Linked DNA regions of Drosophila melanogaster. The protein of the gene in region 1 interacts with the protein of each later gene in a pairwise test. Each region holds a gene or a part of one and is shown on either strand. Other genes may lie near its edges.

Region 1 (7,105 bases):
CTCTTTAGTTGGTTGCCCACATTGTTGCGGTCCTCATCGACTTATAAATAGTTGGGTTTTAATTTTTTTTTTTTTTTTTTTGGTTCTACACTAACTACGCGAGAGCTTGTCGACAATTTTGCATTCGGAGCGTTGCACAATTTGCCGCACAATCGCATTTATTTATCAGTGAATTTCACAGAATCGTCGCGCCAAGAGAAAGAGGAAGCCACTCTACGTCTGTCACTTTGATCCGCTGGCAATGCCATTTTCCTTTTTAATCTGCTGCAGAGTTCAATCCCAAGTGTTATCAATGGAAAAGAGTCATGATTGGCATCGCTTTATGTTTACTTAACATCTATCGAATCTGCTTTGAACCAGACGAAGAAATGCAACTCCTTACGGCTACTTTCCCCAAGGAACGCTAATAGCTGGTAACTGGCATTTTAGAGAAATTTTAAGTGTCTCGATCTAGCTTGCCATCTGCTCGCGTATTTCCGTTTTCAGATCAAGTGCAAGCGCCTCGAATTATAAATGGAGCCCATAAGATAGGCGCCCCAGCAAGTGGGAATCAAAAGTACATAAAGCTAAATAGATTCCTGCGGCGTCAACAGCATTGTCTGTCAACAGAAATTAATGAGTCCATAAATCACGACAGCCACCGCCAAGATAGCGACGCACTAGCTCCTTTCTTCCGCCCCCTTCGGAAAACTGGTAGATGGGGCCCAGTTGGAGGAGGCTAGCAAATATGACGGCTCTAGCCAGCGAGCTCGAGGAACTCGAAAGGGGTGCGGCCCAGCCGAAAAAAAAAAAGAAAAAACCAAAGGGAAGATGCCGCAGCGACTTCAATTACGCGTACGAGGAATGCGCACAATGCGAGTGCGTAGCCGAAATGTGCTCGATGTCGATGGCAAACCCATGGCCAGAGTTCCGATCCCGTCCCACAGGCCCAAAGGAGATCCAACGCATCCGACCAATCATTGGCAATGTACTAGAACCGACAACTCCGCTGCAGTTCGGGTTCGCCGGCACTCGAGCAATGTGCAACGCCCTTCGCTGACAGCGGCGAGATGCATATAAATCTAACCACATGTGCACCAGCTCACCCACTCCCCAATCCTGCCCACTAGGGATTCGGAAAGTAGCTGAGGCACTTACATGGAATTGTTATTGTATTGTTTAGCGGTAAACTATCTTTTAACAACAAACCCTTTAATTTCCTTTAGCTACATAATTTCATATCATTTTATTGTATGAAATGAACTTCTAGAGCTAGCTGGAAAATAGCCAGTTTCACAGCTCTGATCCTAGGACTCCAAATTCGAGACTGAGAAATGGAGTTTGGAATGATTGTGGCAGTTCCGGTTTTGGGTCGCCATCGCCCCCATGGGACTTGACACAGGCCATCTCAAGGGGTTAGAGTCTAGGGGTTAGGGGTTAGAACCAGATGTTAGCCGCCCGCTTATTGATGCGATCGCATTCATTATCCCAGAATGAACTGGCTCAAACACGTGCCCCCTAACGATTAGAAACTCATTAAATATATGGTAATGAGCTGAGTTTGCTTCCAAGAACATGAACTACACTTGTCAGATGTCAGAGGTTGTGGATCCATGGGGAGATGTCCACGCCCAAAGGGAGCAAATGTCAACTGATCTACAGTGAGAAACCTAGCATATTACAACAAAAAGTAGAACATACTATTCAAAGGATAAAATGCAAAGGGTTTTGGAGGTTTTAATTATACTCAAAGCCTATTTAGTGCAACTTTTTTAAGCTCGCCGAGCAATGCCCAAAATGACTGCAAATGCGCTTAATGAATGTTCCGCATCAGCGGTCGGGGATGTGATTTAATTAAAGAACTCAGGGGAAACGACGCCACACAATCAAGCCGAGGCAGTGAAGCGTTTTCCCAAACCCGAACCGCAATCATCGGTATCCACGGGAGGAAGCTACTGGTCGGGCTTTCAGATCAGTCCCCGCCGCATCCTCCCGCAGTCGCTGCTCCTGGGCACCTACTCCCATACCATATAGACTCTTCCATTAAGGCATGTACACATTGACGCGACGTTTTCCTCCTCGGATCTCAAGTGTTTGCCTGCCTTTCGTGGCCATCGTCTGCGCCTTTTGTTTTACTGCCCCTTCTGTGATTTTAACATCTTGCACTTGCGGCCCGCGTCTGGTGGGCTTTTCATGTTTAGCTACCGAAGTAGATGGCTACCGGTGGCCGTTAGTCACGCATTTCTGCACCTCTGGTCCAGAGTCTGGGTTTTGGTTTGGGTTCGGGCATGAGCATGGGTCTGCATCGGCGTCTATATCTTTTTCGACGTCTCCTAGTGAGCAAACAATGCTGGCGTACAAACAGAATGTCAAAACATCGAAAGCATGTCATTAATGGACCAAAAGTGCGGGACCTCCTAGCCGACTTATAACTTCTTTTCAGCTCGGACAAGTGGAAAAATATATATTCGTGTATGTCCTTTTGATACTTTGCCATAAAGAGGCTCAAGCAAACAAATAAATACTTGAAACTAAGTGGGGAATACCATTATAAAAGATTACCCATAGTCAGTCACACTTGTATGTCACTCATAGAAATTGAAAACTATTGGCAAATTATTTCAAAAGATGATCTAAGCAATTCGAAATTTGTAAAAGTAAATCGACGCATGCCAAATTATTCGATTGCGCACATGTTTGTCAACAACTGAGAGAACTGATCAAATCTTTACACACTTGTGTAGCGTAGTTTTCGGCCATAAGGCCATGTCTTGCACTCGCATTTTGCTTTTGGCCCAAAGCACATGGACAAACAGAGACACGGACACTTGGAGCCAAAAGTGAAGACCGCACGACAAAGGCAGAAACATTACAACGATCATTAGTTAAATTAGGAGCCTTGGCTCCGGAGTTTGGGATTGGGATTGGGGTTATGGGTTTTGGATTTTCGGTTTAGGGTTTTGGGTTTTGGAATCGGGTACGTGTGCGGACGTCGGCGACATCATCGAAAGTCAAACAAGTGCCGCGGCTACCGCGAGGCTGTCGATCATGCGCCAAGCGACGGCAGCCTTTTGAAACGAAAATCAAAAGCAAACATCTGCCTCTTGATGTTGCCCAAAAAAAAAAAAAAAAAAAAAAAGAAGTTGGTCCAGCGAGCGATTGTGTTTATCCCAAGCAGTTAGGGGATCCGGATAAGGACTTGGCTGGAGGATCGGACAAGAGGGCTTTATTGGCAAAACACTCGAGTGGCGGGCTTAAGTTAAGAGATTTAAGTGAAAATATAGTGCTACTTTTGAATTTGTCTTTTCGTTACCTTATATTTTAAGATAGAGAGGGAAATGTGATTTCAAAAGTCTTATCAATATTTCCTGCAATATACATATTCTTGTTTTTCTGATTATATTAACCCAAATCTATCAATAAAATAGCTACTACGCTTTTTAAAGAAACCCAATGCCGTCGGCACCTCAAAAATGCCGATAGATCTAAAAATTTTAATTTGGAAATGAATTCTGAGGCCTATATCTTTGTGAGTCATGGATTGAGACATACCTGGGTCCATTTCGGCCGATGGCAATTGATTGAAGAACTCCAGAATTGCAATTGTGGGCACCCAAATCTGCCTTTCGCCAACTCCGCCGTGGAACTTTCTCCGATTGGATTCGCCGGAATAGTTGGACTCTGCTTTGCTGGGGATTGTCGGTGGTTACCTAGTCGTTAACTTTTCGCACTTGGCTATAATGTGAGTTTCAATTAAGGCATGAAATTTGTATACAAATTGGCGCCAGTTGTGCGGGACAGCATCGGGCTGCGATGCCTACTATGCCGTGAACCAAGACTGAGATCTGATTAGCACATTTTCGGGCCAAAACGATCGCTCTCGAGTAGGTTGGCTCGAAAATTATCACGCACTTATCACACCTTATTGGGGAAGCGGGAACTACACACACTTAATGACACTACAATGGGTTTGTTATGCTTTGATTTTGGGAATTATGTCGGTTTACTTTGGACTTGACTGGCGGACCTCCCGTGCGATTGATGGTTTGCAAATGAACCGATTTAAACAGCATTCACTGATCCGTGCGCGCGCCTTTAAATCTTTCGATGGCCTTTTTGCTCTAGCGTATCGGGTCGTAGCGTATCGGTTGGGAACGGTTTGGATCGGGAAAACCTGGCGCGCTCTCCAAAAACGATCGTTGCTGCTCGTCACCCGTGTCTGCTGCGACTAACGCTGCCCGCGGCGCTGCCGATCAAGATCGCCCACAATCCACGTCCACGCACACATTGAATATCACCACCACAGCCACAGTCACATCCACATCTACAGGCTCAAGTGGAAGTGGAAGCCACCGCGTCGACGCAGCATCCCAAGATCTCGCTCTCTCTTTTTCTCACTCTCCGCATTCTCCTCCGCAAGCACACACACACTCATCCGTGAGAGGAAGGGGCGGTCGGTCGAGCGTATATGTGGGTTTTAATGGCGATGATCGCGCACTGGTGTGCGTTTGTTGGTGGACCGCGGGCAAATAATAAAAATGAAGAATGTCTTTCAGCGATCAGGAGCGCAGGCAGCGAATTGAGGGTAAGCCCAGAAGAGTTAAGGCGCCAGTAACTTTGGTATCGAAATATCTTGTAAGTGTTTAAAGTAAAGGGTTCATATAAATTAAATATTTTAATAAAGAGATCGAATTCAGAAGTTTAGAAGAAGGTTTTTAAGACTTTATTACATCAAGTTATACACAATAATCTATACAATTTTTTTATTATTTATCATAACATATTTCCGTTTTCTTGCTGATGGATAATAAACTAAGCTAACAACCCATCTCTCCTTTTTTCCCCAGTTACCGCTCCTGTAGTCGCTCAACTTTGTGTTTGTGTGCCAACGGATGTGTGGGTGTATCCATGGATCGGAATTCGTACTCTCGCTCTCTCTCCGCTGCAATACCTACACAGACGAACCGAACCGAGTGAGTGAGCATACGCAACCGGGCGGAGTTAATTTCTGAATGCTTGAATGGCCAATCTGAAGCAAGTAAGCGTATCCGTAGCGTTACGCAGGGTGGGCGAGCGATGTCATGACTTCTTAGTGTCACACAGATGAGGAGCAGACGAAAAAGGAGCCGAGGGAGAAGGATAGAAGGAGAGAAACGGAAGGAAAAGGAAAGGGGCGGGGCTGTGGGAATTCTCGGAGCGCGTGCATCTATTTTTGGTTCATTAAGAAAGCCATATCGCTAATAAAGCGGCACAGACAGCTAACCCCGTAGATCCCCAGGGATCCACCTCCCGGCCAATGCGGCGTATGCGTGATGCCAACTCTCGCTGAGGCGTTGCGTCTTGCTTGGTTAGAGTTAATTATAAGAAATGCCGTCTTCATCTGATTGTCACTAATTCTGAATACCGCCATTTAATGATAGATGCCAATTGTCGTTGTCATTCCCTCATTAAAATGGTCAAATCGCCGCTCTTGCTATTCTTAATGTTGTGCTCGCTCTCTTCGCTGGCTGTTTAGCATGGCTGTGTGTGCACTTAGTGCGCGTGTGTGTGTGTTTTGGCCCACACACACTGTTGCGCGTTGGACACACCTCCTTGAGTTGGCTTACGCTTACCTGCTCATACCTTTTGTTGCGAATCCAATTGGCCCTCTCCCTGTCACTTTCTGATTTCTGCTCATTGCCGACTGCATTTCCCTGCATTTTGTGGTTTGACGAACGCCATTTCCGACATTGCCTTTGTTTTAAAACAAATAATTCTTATAGTTACAATGTACTTTAAAAAATTTAAACTAAACTCTCCTAATACAATTCATTATTGTTAAATTACTTGTCTTTTTAATTTTTTATAATTTTTATATAAATTTTAAAAACATTTAAAATGTATCTATTACATTGGCATTTTGATTTTGTAATAAACATAAATACATATTATTTAAATAATATTGTAAAAACAATGCATTTTCTTGTTCAGTTTTCTACTTACTTTTAAGAACGAAATGATTAAAGGGAAACACAAAATCATCATAGAGTAAACAATTTTTTTCTTTTTATTTAGTAATACTAGATAGATAATAATAGATCAAGTTGAAGAGCTTTATTTAATCATTAAAAACAATTAAGTAAATCTTTTAATAAAATAATCCAAACGCTAAGAAGTAAATCTCCGATACGTAATGGATCGACTTACAAAATAATTGGCCATATGCGAAAACCAAGAATTCTTCCCCGGCGGCCAAAGCTTCAATTTGATGACTAAAGCATTGGGGATAAAGAATTGGGGGAGCTGATGACAAAATTGTCTCCGCGTTTAACAAATTGGGTGACAGGCTTTGAAGTCGCCGGCAGCCAGCGACAAATGACAAGCATAACAAATGAACACTGTGCGTTTTCCGCTTATTTTTTTCTCCTTCACGGATACTTTCCAGTTGTATCTTCCTGTGTTATAAAACAAGCGGGAGTGGAAGGAGTCGATGTGGAATCTGCCAGGCACTTGAGAAAACAAAGGAGCTAACACCAGGGACTTGGGAAAAGGAGTCCAAGTACCAGGAGCAGCATCGTATGTCATAAAGTGGCAAATGCGCTATTAAATTGACACATATAAGTCAGAGGAGGAGGACAAGTTACATAAGATTGCGCCAGATGGGCGGGGACTATGCACTGGGAAAAAACACTTTGGAATTATAGATACAGAAGTTTGGATATATGTTTTGAAAAGAATTTAACTTATAAAGTACACCTTATTAATTGTTATCAATACATTTTTTCATTTATTATTCGTATAAAATTATCATATTGCACAGTCCTTTAACAATGGAAATCGCCGCTTTTAAAGTTACAAAAAAATATAGTAATTTTGTAAGTATCTTACCTTTTGTATCGTTTCGAACAACATTTTTCCCCAGTGCACAACTGCTGGAGTAGGCGGAAGCGTCAAATTGTCTACGGCAGCGGTACTCCCATAAACGCGCATAAATCCCAAACGAAAAAGGCATCGACACGTGATTATGCGACCCACTTGAGTCCTGGAACATAGTATCTGGAATCTAGAACCTACGAGCCCAGGGACCATGGACCTTGGGCGCTACATAAAACGGATCGACGCAACTGCAGTTGAGGATGAATTATTG
Region 2 (3,624 bases), 4.6 Mb from region 1:
ATTATTCACGCGGCTCTTACCGCCTCTGATTTTTCCCCCATTTTCCAACCCCTGTTCTCTTAAACATGCATGTATGCATTCGCCTAGATGTTGCTCGTAAACTTTGCAATTATGCAAAGCAAAGGCCATGTTGGCCGAGACTTACAACAAGCCATGTATTTTTGATGGTCATAAAAAAAAGTACGCAAAATGATCACTCAATGCCCCTCGCCGCCAAAGGACGATGTCGACAAGCACTGGCCAGGCAATCAAAGTTGGCAACTACTTTGCAAGTTTTGGCCAATGTTTTATGGAAGGGCGAAGGTTATGCCAGCCAGATACTTAAAAACACAAATATTCCAACTCCTTCAAAATATTTTCGCCTAGAAGTCAAGGCAGTGAAAAGCATTTGAAATGCCCTTTCGATGTAACTCTGCATTTCAAATAAAACGAAACATTTCAGGGCAACGATGCAATTACCTTTTTAAGCCTGCGAAAAAGATTCTTTGTTTAATTTGGTCTGATATTGATATTGCGATTTTTAATATGATTTCTGGGTAAAAACTGCAAAAAATTGGATCGATTTTACATTACTATTATTTTAACTGAATCACATCACTTATGGTATTTAAAATAGTTCCGATTTCTTGCTCTATTGTTGTTGTTCGAGCTCATAAATTTCTTCATTATAAAATAAATATTATTTCTATTGTATCTACCACATCTTCTTTTTAATCTCCTTAATCTAATATCTTTTTTTATCAGTTAAAAAATGATTTTTTTTATTTTAAATTAGTACAATTTTTTTTCAGTGAACGCGGTGACAAATTTAAGTGAAATAATCAATCGGACCAGGGCCTTAAACTGTGTTGCAAGGTTCTCCCAGCAGGATCCGCGTGCGATGCCACTTTGAATAATTATTGGCGCAGAGACAGAAAGTCAATCAGTGGGAATGCAGCGGGCAATTTAATACAATTGCGGGCCAAGGCGCTTATTCAATTAATTACTTGAAACAGTGCGTCAAAAAGCGGGCAAGTAATGCAGAAAAAGCCGAGTAATTATTTTACACTTTGCTACCGCTGCCGTTCGACGATTTTCCACCATTTTCCACTTGCCCGCGACGCAGATTCAGCATTTTGATGAAGTTTTTCCACGACACAGTCAGTTGTACGCCCAGTCGGTCATTCCATCTGTCGCCTGTGCATAATAAAGTTTACTTTAAGTTTGTTAAATCCATGCCCACCAGTAATGTGACCCACTTTTCAGGTTGGCACGTGTAATTATCGACATCTCATTAAATGAAATCAAAGACAGGCCCAGCAAAAGGCAATATAAATTCGCATAAATTCGCTACGGCGCTTTAAATGTCAAGTGGTGGGGCTCGTCCATCGATTTTTCTGCCTCACTGGCTGCTGGGGTCATTTATCAATATGTAGATTTTCCACGGAAAGTTCAATGGGTCCGGAGGACACACATACGCACTATACACTATACACATGGACCCCCGTATAAATTGCGTAATTTTTTTTACACGCACACACAATTGGAGATAAATTGACTGATATGCATGTTGTGGGCCACCGTCGTCTGTCTGTCTGGCAGTTTGATGGATGCGTCTGCCTGGAAAACTGTCCTCCTACACGCCCACTTTCACTTTTCTGCTCTTTGATTTTTTCTTTAAATAAATCGACGCCCCAAGCCACTTCCACTTCCGGTGACTGCACTTAAATGCCAGACGAAAGCGTAATGGCATCAATTTCCTTCAGGCCAAAATTTAAATGTGTCTAAATCTAAAATATATTATCAGCCAAGATACATATCAATTTCATGTTCCGAAGGAATATACTGTCTGAAATATTACATGATTTCAATTAAACCATAATTCAAATAAATTTTTAAGAAGAGAAAACTATTTAATCACATCTTTAATGCTTTTCCCTTCAATTAGTAGCAGTTAGTTTATTGTTTATATTTATTGTTGTTACTTTATATTGAGTTCTTTGCGTTGCTTTCACATGTTCTTGTATCAATACCAGCAAAGATGAAGTTGGACCTTACCATGAACGACCGTTTCAATCAGCGGTTTCAGTCGGTTTATGGCGGACTTGTTCCCCAGATCGCCCGACTGGTGCCCTTCAACGACTCTGAGGTGACCTGCATCCTGATGATCTACTACAAGTATAGTCTCCAGAATGGGCCCTCTGCTCGCCGAATAACATCCAGCCAGTTTGTGAACATTGTGATCGGTTTCCAGCAGCTATATGACATGGACGTGGTGGATCGCATCGTAACCCTAATCGCAGGTGGCAGGAAACACGTGACGCCCATGGAATTTGTCAACTACATGACCATTCTAATGTCCCGCGACATGGAACGGAAAATGGAATTTGCATATATGGTAATGGGAATGTACACGATACATTTGTTTTTTTTTTTTTTAATTTTTCAATTAGGTTTACGACAAAAATGGCATGGGTATTAATAGAGAGATCATTTCATCTTCGGTCGAGAGGTTTTTCGTCGGCGACGACGACGAGGTACTCGAGATGCGACTGGTGAGCTGGAATTTACCAACTTCAAGCCCTCATTCAATCTGTTGCCCAATTAGGACATGGTCGATTTTCTACTCCTCAAATTTGATGAAGACCAAGACGGCTACATCTCATTTGAGGAGTATAGATCGATCGTGTTGCAGCAGCCGCGTCTGCTGGAGTTTCTGGGTCCCATCTTTCCCTCGGACGAGACGCGTCTGGTGGTGGCGTACTGCACTGCCATATACTCTCACATACCCGAAATGGGTACGTTGTAGGTATGATTGCAGAAGGGTATGTGGCATTTTGCCAGAACTCCGCCAGTCACATAAATCTTTGAGGCACAAATAAATCGAAAGCAATGCAAATCAGTGCGCCCCGCCACCGCGTTTTTCTCTGTTCAGCCATTGTAGCCACTCGAAAATGTCAATGACAATGATGATGAACTGCAGAATAGAGCGCTGACAGCTGCAACGAGACGCTGGATAGATGGATAGATGGATGGAGCATATATAGGGGACACCAGCTGTCTCTCGACCACACGGGGAAAAATATTAAAGATTACGATGGAATACTTAACATAAATATCAATAAAATAGAGTAACAATACTTTCAATTCACAGCTTACAATTCATTTTTGTATATTTATGTTTAAATGTTTAATTCATTTAAACTGGCTAAAAAATTAATAATTTATTATTGCCATACAAAATGTATAAACATAAATTCTTTAGGTATTCCAAAATACGATGTACACAGATTTGATTTAAGATGTACAGTATAATATTATAAAAACTAACTATTAATTTTATTACATTTCACAGATGTAAGTAACTTATTTAAAATGGCAATAGAATTTTATACTTTTGAGTTATTGTTTTGATGTTATTCCTAGTGTAGCCCGCTTTAGTGACATAATTTTAAATACGGAGCGCAGCTCCAGAAATACTTTGCTATGGTTGAATGCTCCACTGGCTCGACGACTGCCTTTTGCCACTGCCTCATGACAGCTTGATTTGTTGGCAGTTGGCATACAATTGACATTTGATGGATGGTGTTCTACATTGTCGGGACATTCTCCAATCCAGGCTTCCAACTGCAGCCACTGCAGGCC

What was found. The genes of interacting proteins can lie anywhere in the genome.
Region 2: the proteins of Poxm (region 1) and d-cup interact in a two-hybrid assay, tested with the Drosophila melanogaster proteins (one large-scale study listed by BioGRID).

Annotation. Positions count from the first base shown.
Region 1 is NT_033777.3:8,329,584-8,336,688, forward strand, and holds the start of Poxm (Pox meso), read right to left. Parts: upstream 4,210-7,105; 5' UTR 3,542-4,209; coding exon 3,532-3,541; intron 1-3,531.
Region 2 is NT_033777.3:12,890,035-12,893,658, forward strand, and holds d-cup (davis-cup), read left to right. Parts: upstream 1-1,921; 5' UTR 1,922-2,020; coding exon 2,021-2,377; exon of another isoform or gene 2,378-2,432; coding exon 2,433-2,534; intron 2,535-2,587; coding exon 2,588-2,788; 3' UTR 2,789-3,124; downstream 3,125-3,624.